2 linked regions of the Rattus norvegicus genome follow. The protein of the gene in region 1 purifies or fractionates together with the protein of each later gene. This does not show direct contact. Links are inferred from orthologs where the notes say so. Each region holds a gene or a part of one and is shown in the gene's direction. Other genes may lie near its edges. The genes, in order: S100a4 and Ppfibp1.

Evidence for each region.
Region 2: the proteins of S100a4 (region 1) and Ppfibp1 purify together in Homo sapiens (co-immunoprecipitation; 3 studies listed by BioGRID and IntAct, with this or other methods). This does not show direct contact. The link is inferred for Rattus norvegicus from reciprocal best matches to the Homo sapiens genes S100A4 and PPFIBP1.

The regions. Positions count from the first base shown.
Region 1 is NC_086020.1:178,387,206-178,391,521, forward strand, and holds S100a4 (protein S100-A4), read left to right. Parts: upstream 1-1,323; 5' UTR 1,324-1,360; intron 1,361-2,156; exon of another isoform or gene 2,157-2,278; intron 2,279-2,526; 5' UTR 2,527-2,541; coding exon 2,542-2,682; intron 2,683-3,339; coding exon 3,340-3,504; 3' UTR 3,505-3,632; downstream 3,633-4,316. UniProt on the Homo sapiens protein: Calcium-binding protein that plays a role in various cellular processes including motility, angiogenesis, cell differentiation, apoptosis, and autophagy.
Region 2 is NC_086022.1:181,678,889-181,682,700, forward strand, and holds the end of Ppfibp1 (liprin-beta-1), read left to right. Parts: intron 1-758; coding exon 759-935; intron 936-1,195; coding exon 1,196-1,261; intron 1,262-1,462; coding exon 1,463-1,549; 3' UTR 1,550-3,191; downstream 3,192-3,812. UniProt on the Homo sapiens protein: May regulate the disassembly of focal adhesions. Did not bind receptor-like tyrosine phosphatases type 2A.

The DNA.
Region 1 (4,316 bases):
TCAGGCATGTGCACACAGTTGGGACTGCTGTGGCAGGGGCCTCCTCAACTCCCAATAAAGAAATGTCATCTTGGCTTACTTTGGTTTTTCTGGTGGGACACACTGGGTCTTGGGACTGAGTCCTTGTTCCTTTATGCTCCTTACCACTGGAGAAAGAAGGCTTACCACTGAAGATGGACCCCCAAAGCATCAGACCCAGTAGAGATGTGCAAATCTTACTGTTCAATAGGAGGGTGGGGGCAACACAAGGTCTCATTGGATGAGACTGGAGGGTCTCTGTCTCCACCTCTCTGTCCCCTGTCTTGAACTAGAAGTCCTTATCTTGGGCTTTCTAGGAGAACAAGGGGCTCCTTGGGAGGTACTCAATACAAGGAGGATGCGGTTGTGGGACCCAGCATCAGACCCAGTAGAGATGCTCAAATCTTAGTGTCCAATAGGAGGGTGGGGGCAACATAAGGTCTCATTGGATGAGACTGGAGGGTCTCTGTCTCCATCTCTCTGTCCCCTGTCTTGAACCAGAAGTCCTTATCTTGGGCTTTCTAGGAGAACAAGGGGCTCCTTGGGAGGTACTCAATACAAGGAGGATGCGGTTGTGGGAGCCCAGAGTCAAACCCCCTCTAACCTTCACTTAACCCCTGAGTTTGTACCATATCCTTAGAGATTAATCCTGACTCCCTATTCACCTCTTTCTTCTCTAACTCTCTTCTCCAAGCTGAGCATTCAATCCCGAATGCTTCTGTCATCCCCAATACCCTTACTCAAGCTTCCATCCATGCATAAACCTCTAGGCCACACTACCACCTAACTCCATTATGATATTTCCCACTTAATACCTGGGGTGGTCCCAAGGTCCCTCCTGATTTGCTAGCCTCCACCCTGGATCTTCCTGATGTGACAAGAAGCTGTGTAGGCTGGAGAGAAGGGCTGACATTGTCCCACTGGCTGGGTCACCTCCTTAATTCCTCAGCCAGATAATTCCAGGGCAGTTTCCCATCTCTTGTCTATAACACCAGCATCTCCTTTTCTGTGCCCCACACCTCATGTACAGGTTGTCCCTTCTCAAAGCTTCCTAAGATTCTAGCTGAACTGCGGCTACTTGGTGGTATCCACCCCATCCAAGTCTCTGCCCTGCCCACTGGAGCGCACTCACTACTTGATTGTGCCTGCTAGGGAGCAGGAAGCCTAGCTCTTGGCTGGGCTGGTGGCTGGGCTGTGACACTTACCCGCATCGACCAACAGCAAGAGCAGTATCCATGTTCCCCCATCCCCTGCATGGGCAGGGCATGGCAGGGTATAAATAGGTCAGATTGTTGGGCTCTCCCCAAACCTCTCTGTTCAGCACTTCCTCTCTCTTGGTCTGGTGAGTCGTGTTGGCCTGATAGCACTGTTAGCAGTTTAGAGGCTGAGGCTAGGACAGGAGAAAGGGGGCGTACTGGGGGGAGGGCAGAAGTCTTTAACGGATCCAGATGAGAGATTCTGGTACGGAGGTGTGTGTGTGTGTGTGTGTGTGTGTGTGTGTGTGTGTGTGTGTGTGTGTTGCACAAGAATGAAAACTGAAAAACAAGCAGTATATAAATGGCTCCCGGAGATTCTGAGATGCTGAGGCTTGCTTGTATGTTGCTATAGTGTATGTTGGTGCTTGGGAGCCACTGTCATGGATAGGTATGTTGCTGGGTCATCCAAGCCAGTGTGTGGACACTCAGGTACAGGAAGCAAAGTGAAGGCATCAGCAGGCATTTTTGTTTTACGATGTTTAAATTACACTTATTTTATTTGTGTGTACGAGTGTATGGGTGGGGATGGGGCAAATGCCAAGGGGCACTTCTTGTGAGAGTCAATCTGTTCCTTCTAGCATGTGGGCTCTGGAGATCAAACTCAGGTCATTGAGCTTGGTGGCAAGCACCTCTACCTACTGAGCCACCTGTTCAACACCCACCTGTAGGCATTTGTGTTCATAGTAGTTCATAGCCCTATGAACATATAGCACCTAGGCCAAGAGAGCCTGGCTTCCCCACCCCCTCCCCTTGTACCCCAACCTCTGCCACTTCATCTCACTCCTACTAGGCAGCTGGGTTTTTTCCCTCACTGTAGGCCCCTGGGCAGGCAGCCAGCAGCCGCGCCCAACGCTGGGAGGGAGAAGAATGGGTCAGAGGCTGGAGCTTGTGGTTGAGTTGGGGAGTGAGTAAGCTGAGTGAGGGATGGAAAACTGCTGTTGTTGAGGCCAGGCCTGGGGGGGAGGCACAGAAGGCTGCTGGCATGAATTTCTAGAGTTTGAGTGGTAAGTTTTGCAAGTTTCAGAGCTTGAAGCACATATGAGCTTCTTGCCATCAGTGGGTACCACTCCTCTGATCTCCCTGGGAGTGAGGTCGGTCTCTGGAAGTGCTCTTAGAGAGTAGGTTGGAGTAGAGCACTAAAAACGGGGACAGACTGAGTGTGACTTGAGTGATGCCTAGCAACATATATCCAGCTCTCAACACACTGTTGGTGTGGGTTGGAGAAGGCTACTTTTGTGTCTCCTGCCCCTAGGTCTCAACGGTCACCATGGCGAGACCCTTGGAGGAGGCCCTGGATGTAATAGTGTCCACCTTCCACAAATACTCAGGCAACGAGGGTGACAAGTTCAAGCTGAACAAGACAGAGCTCAAGGAGCTACTGACCAGGGAGCTGCCTAGCTTCCTGGGGGTGAGTGGATCCTGTCTGTGTATTGCATATGTGATGCATCCCCAGGAGGAGGCTGGGGCTGGAGATATCTATCTATCTATCTATCTATCTATCTATCTATCTATCTATCTATCTATATCTATATCATCTATCTATATCTATCTATCTATCTACATATATATATATATATATATATATATATATATATATATATATATATATCTCTCCCTACTCCTGGCGCTTGGTATGGAACCACAATGAACCATCTACTTCACACCAGCCCCCCGTTGAGACAAGGCTTAGAATGAAGTTAACTGAAGTGGCACAGGAAAACCACATTAGGTAGTCAGTGTCTGAAAGCACAGCCTAGATCAGGACAGTCTTTCCGGTGATGTGCAACAGAAATCGAGTTTCTGCTTGTGAAGACATGATTGTGGAGGCACACAAATGCCTGCAGATCTTCCCCTCAATGACACCTTATCTTAGTTAACACCTCCTTGTCATGACAGTTACCTATAGACATAGTTAAAACAAGCGTGGGGAAGATGTGGTCACATCCTTTCCCAGCTAGCCCATGTGCTCATCTCACAGTTGAGCCCTGAGGCTAGCACGGTGTCTGCAAGCCTTCCTGAGCTCCTGGCTGGAGGTGGCGTCTAACTGTACCTCTTCTACCTCCAGAGAAGGACAGACGAAGCTGCATTCCAGAAGCTGATGAACAACTTGGACAGCAACAGGGACAATGAAGTTGACTTCCAGGAGTACTGTGTCTTCCTGTCCTGCATTGCCATGATGTGCAATGAATTCTTTGAGGGCTGCCCAGATAAGGAGCCCCGGAAGAAGTGAAGACTCCTCAGATGAAGTGTTGGGCCAGTGGGGGAATCTTCCATGTTGGCTGTGAGCATAGTGCCTTACTCTGGCTTCTTCATACATGTGCACAGTGCTGAGCAAGTTTAATAAAGAGTTTTGAAACTATGTCTGAGAGACTGGAGATTGTGGGTGGGTGGGTGGGGCTGAGGGAGGGTGGTGGCAGAGATGGCTGGAAGTTGACCTGGAGCTTTGTGGGGGCCAAACTAGAAAAGGTTGGGGAGGGGTGAGTGACTTATTCTGAGTTCATTACAAGTGTATATTTGTGTGTATGCGTGCATGTGTGTGTGTGTTTGTGTGTGTTCACGTGCTCCTGTACATGCAACAAAGCAAACTCTGGGAACACTAAAGGCAGAAACCACCAGAGGCTTGCCTTGAAAGGCTCCAGATGTGGGATGTTATCCAGCCCACGGTTCTCCCTCCTCTCTCTAGTACTGCCTCTGGGCTCAAACTGAAGTTGGGATGGAATTAAAGGTCACATCTGCTGCTGGTTGGGGTCTGGAGGGAAGACAACAGGCCTGCCTGAGTCATGAGGCAGGAGTCTTGAAGCCAGAGAAGGGTGGGGAGGTGGACTGGCATTCAGCCCTAACATTTATAGTCCAGATCCTGTCTTGCTACCCGTTCTAGCTCATTGGCTTCACTGGATTAATCCTTTCCTTTCCATGAAGGGTTGGACAAAGAAGGGTAATATAGAGTAGCATAAGAATCTCTCTCTCTCTCTCTCTCTCTCTCTCTCTCTCTGAGAAGTCTCACTCCTGTAGCCAAAGGTAGCCTTGAACTTCTGATCCTCC
Region 2 (3,812 bases), on another chromosome or scaffold:
AGTAACCCCAGCTTTACCACCTGCCTTCCCTTCCTGTCTTGTCTCCTTCCCTCTTCTCCACCCAGCTTGGGGTTGAACCTAGGCTCTTAATCATATTAACCCAGAGCTCTGCCATCGAACTGTACACCCCAGCCTGCCCTTTCTCTTTAAATTTTATTAGTTAATTAATTAATATTTTGAGTCATGCTCTTATTAAGTTGCCGAGTCAGGCCTGAAGCTTGTGATTCTCATGCCTCAGCCACCGAGTAGCTGCAGTTGCAGGCAGGCCCCATGCCACAAAGGCCCAGCAAAGACCACTGTCCTTTCCTAATCTTAGACTGAATAGTCTTGCAAAGTTTGGCTCATCCCTGAGAGGAATTCTCTTATATGAAGTCCTGTCTAATCCAAGCAAAGGATTTTGACATGTCCCGCCTGTGGCATAACAGCGAGGTTAACCTTTTGAGAGTTACGCCAAGACCGTTTATGATATTCAGGCACGTTGCTACTGTGTCTGGGGTGCTTCTGGCTTTCTCGTGATAATTTCATCATTGAAGTTGCTACCCCTGTGTGGTGAGGTGAATTAATTTACAGGTATAATTAGTCCTCTGCTGTAGGGATTTTATCCTACCTCTGGGTGTCTTTTTGTTTTTTGTTTTTTGTTTTTTTTGTTTTTTTTGGTTCTTTTTTTGGAGCTGGGGACTGAACCCAGGGCCTTGCGCTTCCTAGGCCAGCGCTCTAACCACTGAGCTAAATCCCCAACCCCTTGTTTTCTTTTAAAGCCAAAGAAACTGACCTTTAGCAACTTTGGGAATCTGAGGAAGAAGAAACATGAAGATGGGGAGGAGTATGTCTGTCCAATGGAGCTAGGCCAGGCGTCGGGTAGCTCCCAGAAGGGGTTTAGACCTGGCTTGGACATGCGCCTGTATGAAGAGGATGATTTGGACCGGTTAGAGCAGGTAAGGCGCCCGCAGTCATGCAGACACTGCTTGGAAGCCTTGCACACTGTCACTGAGGAAGGGTGCTGTCTTCCCACGACTGAAAATAAAAATGGCCAAGTATCCTGAATAGCTGCAGATTCCCGTCCGCTTCTCAGCAGGCACATCCCCAGCACCTGACTACTTTCTTGCATATGTTCTCTGTTTAGACTGTCATTTAGTGATCTGTACTTTTGGAATTGTACAAATGAGCTTGTCACATTGTGGTCTGTTCTTGGTAGATGGAAGATTCAGAAGGGACGGTGAGACAGATAGGTGCGTTTTCTGAAGGCATCAACAATCTCACGGTAAGTGTTACAGTGAGTGCGTGTGGTGAGTGCGTGTGGTGAGTGTGTACGGTGAGTGCGTACGGTGAGTGTGTGTGGTGAGTGTGTACTGTGAGTGTGTATGGCAAGTTGCAAATGTTATTCTAAACACCTACTCGTGTGTTGGAAGCATGTGGTGCTGAGCTCAGAACTCCGTGTAACTCGATGTCCCTTGTTTTTCAGCACATGTTAAAGGAAGATGACATGTTTAAGGATTTTGCTGCCCGCTCCCCAAGTGCCAGCATCACAGATGAAGACTCCAACGTTTGAGCAGAGCACCTGGGCAAATGCCAGGAGCACACGTGTCATTTTCCAGCTTTGTTTCTCGGATAGTGTATACAGCAGGTGACAGGTTGTGCATTGCTTATTGTTCGGACTTCTGCTCGCTCAGAAGGAGAGCTATAGCACGGGAATGGTGCCAGTTCTGAGCATGTTGAGGAAAAAGAGAGGCTGGTGAGCGAAAGTGCGCTTGCTCTGCCTCTGTTTAATGCGAAGTCTGCGACGTGTGCTGTTGGAAGTGTTGCACGCACGGTTGCGTGTACCAGAGCGCCTCGCTCACATCTCCAGGAGGGAGGCCTGGCCACATCAGTGTTCACTGCAGCCGGCTGTGCTGAACGTGCTGCCCCCAGAGCCAAGTGCCACCATGTGCCAGCAGCACCGCCACTTGCCTCTCACTGTCTTATTTTTATATATTTTTCTAAATACGTGTATATATGCAGTCTACAGAAAACAGAACCTTTATTTTGTGACACAAGGATCAAAAGATCATATTAAAACAAAGAAACCCCCGTGTTCCCTATGATCACATACCAGCTGATTCTTGCGGGTACCACAGTCCCATTTTATCTCCACTGATGAATTTTAACCGTGTTAACCACTCAGGCTAAATTCTACATGATGTATACTTCTTGGTTCCCACCAAAATTGTCGAGCAGCTTAGAACTTGAACTTTAATCCCGACTCCATTTTCTTCATAATGAAGTATTTTAGGGTTGTTACCACATCAGCTTGAAGCCTTCGGATACACTCATGTCCCCATCAGAAAAGTTTTCTGTTAGAATGGCTTCAGAAAAACAAGAAACCAAACAGAACCTTTCCATGTTAACTTCCTTATTTCTTTTTCTTTGCTAAACTCATCATTATGTTGAACTAAGGGGTCCACCTAGCCATGTCCACTGTACCTGATACTCAGCCTGTCAGCTCACAGGGCTTCAGATTATTTCAGTCAAATCCCAGTATTTTAAAGCTGCATTAGAACATTTTCTGATGGTCCTGACCAGTAGCACGTCGCTCGTGTTTTCTGTAACACAAGGCCCAAGGGCTTTTTGTAAAGAAAATAGAAAGTTACAGCAGCTGCTCTGTGGCGTGTGGATGCAAGTGTTTCTAGTGGTGTTGGAGACAATCCTCTTTTTATTCAGGGCTGCTCAAAACGAGACCTCCTGTGTTCCAGACAGGAGCTTACACACCAGGGGACAGGGGGACAGTTCGGTTTGTGGTGATGGCCATTTCCAAATGTCAGCAGTATTCCTTTTCATGTTTGCCGGTTATAAAGCTGTTCATTGTGAACTTTGTAACTCTGCTGTCCACTTCTAATTAAATTATCAGATGCTAACCGTGGTTTCCTTTGAATGCTCCCATTCATGAAATCAAGACAATATTGGCTTCTTCCTGTATTGGGGTTTTAGTTTAAACATGAATAAATGTCACCCTTTGGAGAGCTCAGTTTGTTACCAGAGCCTGGTTGGAAATACCAGCAGACTGTTACAGATGCCAAGCAGTTTTTATTAAGGACAACGTAACAACTGATGATATGTGATAAAGTTAAAAAACTTCTTATTATATATTTTATTTACAAAAGTATTATGCAAAGTTCGCATTACCTTATGAGAAGAAATAAAGTCAATTGATAGTTGCCTTGTGTTTTTGTCTTTTAATGTTTCCTTGTTCAGAAAGACAAAGTCTTCGTTTCTGGTGGAAACAGTAAAGGATTCTTGCTTGTAAACTTGCACATTTGACTGAGTTTGTTTGAATCAGACAAATTGAGATCTCTGCTTAAGAAGTATGTATAAAAGGAAATGCCAGCAACCCACCTGGGGAAGGAAGGGTCAGAACAGGAAAAGAAAAGGAAAGAGAAGAGACACGAGCTTGGAGATATTGGTTGGAGAGTATAGGATTCTAATCCATACATTCACATACTGGTTTTATTCTTGGAAACAGGAGCCACAGCCAGGAAAGAGTTTACCAAGGATCAAGTGTAGGCTGTACACAACCTGGAGTAGAACAGGTGTTTTGTGTGAAATTGTCATCTGTCACTTGGCAGGCATCAGGAATCTGAGCACAACACACCCAGTTGACAAACAGGGGGCCCTCCCTCACATGTTTGTCTAGCCTCGGGTCTATATGGCTAGCCACACCAAGGAAGCTGTGACATTAGGAAGCTGGTGGTGTGGTGGCTTTAACAGATGTGGCTTCACTGAAGAAAATCTCTGAGAAAGAGCCAGTTCCCTGTGACATTCGCGGGTTGGATAGCTAG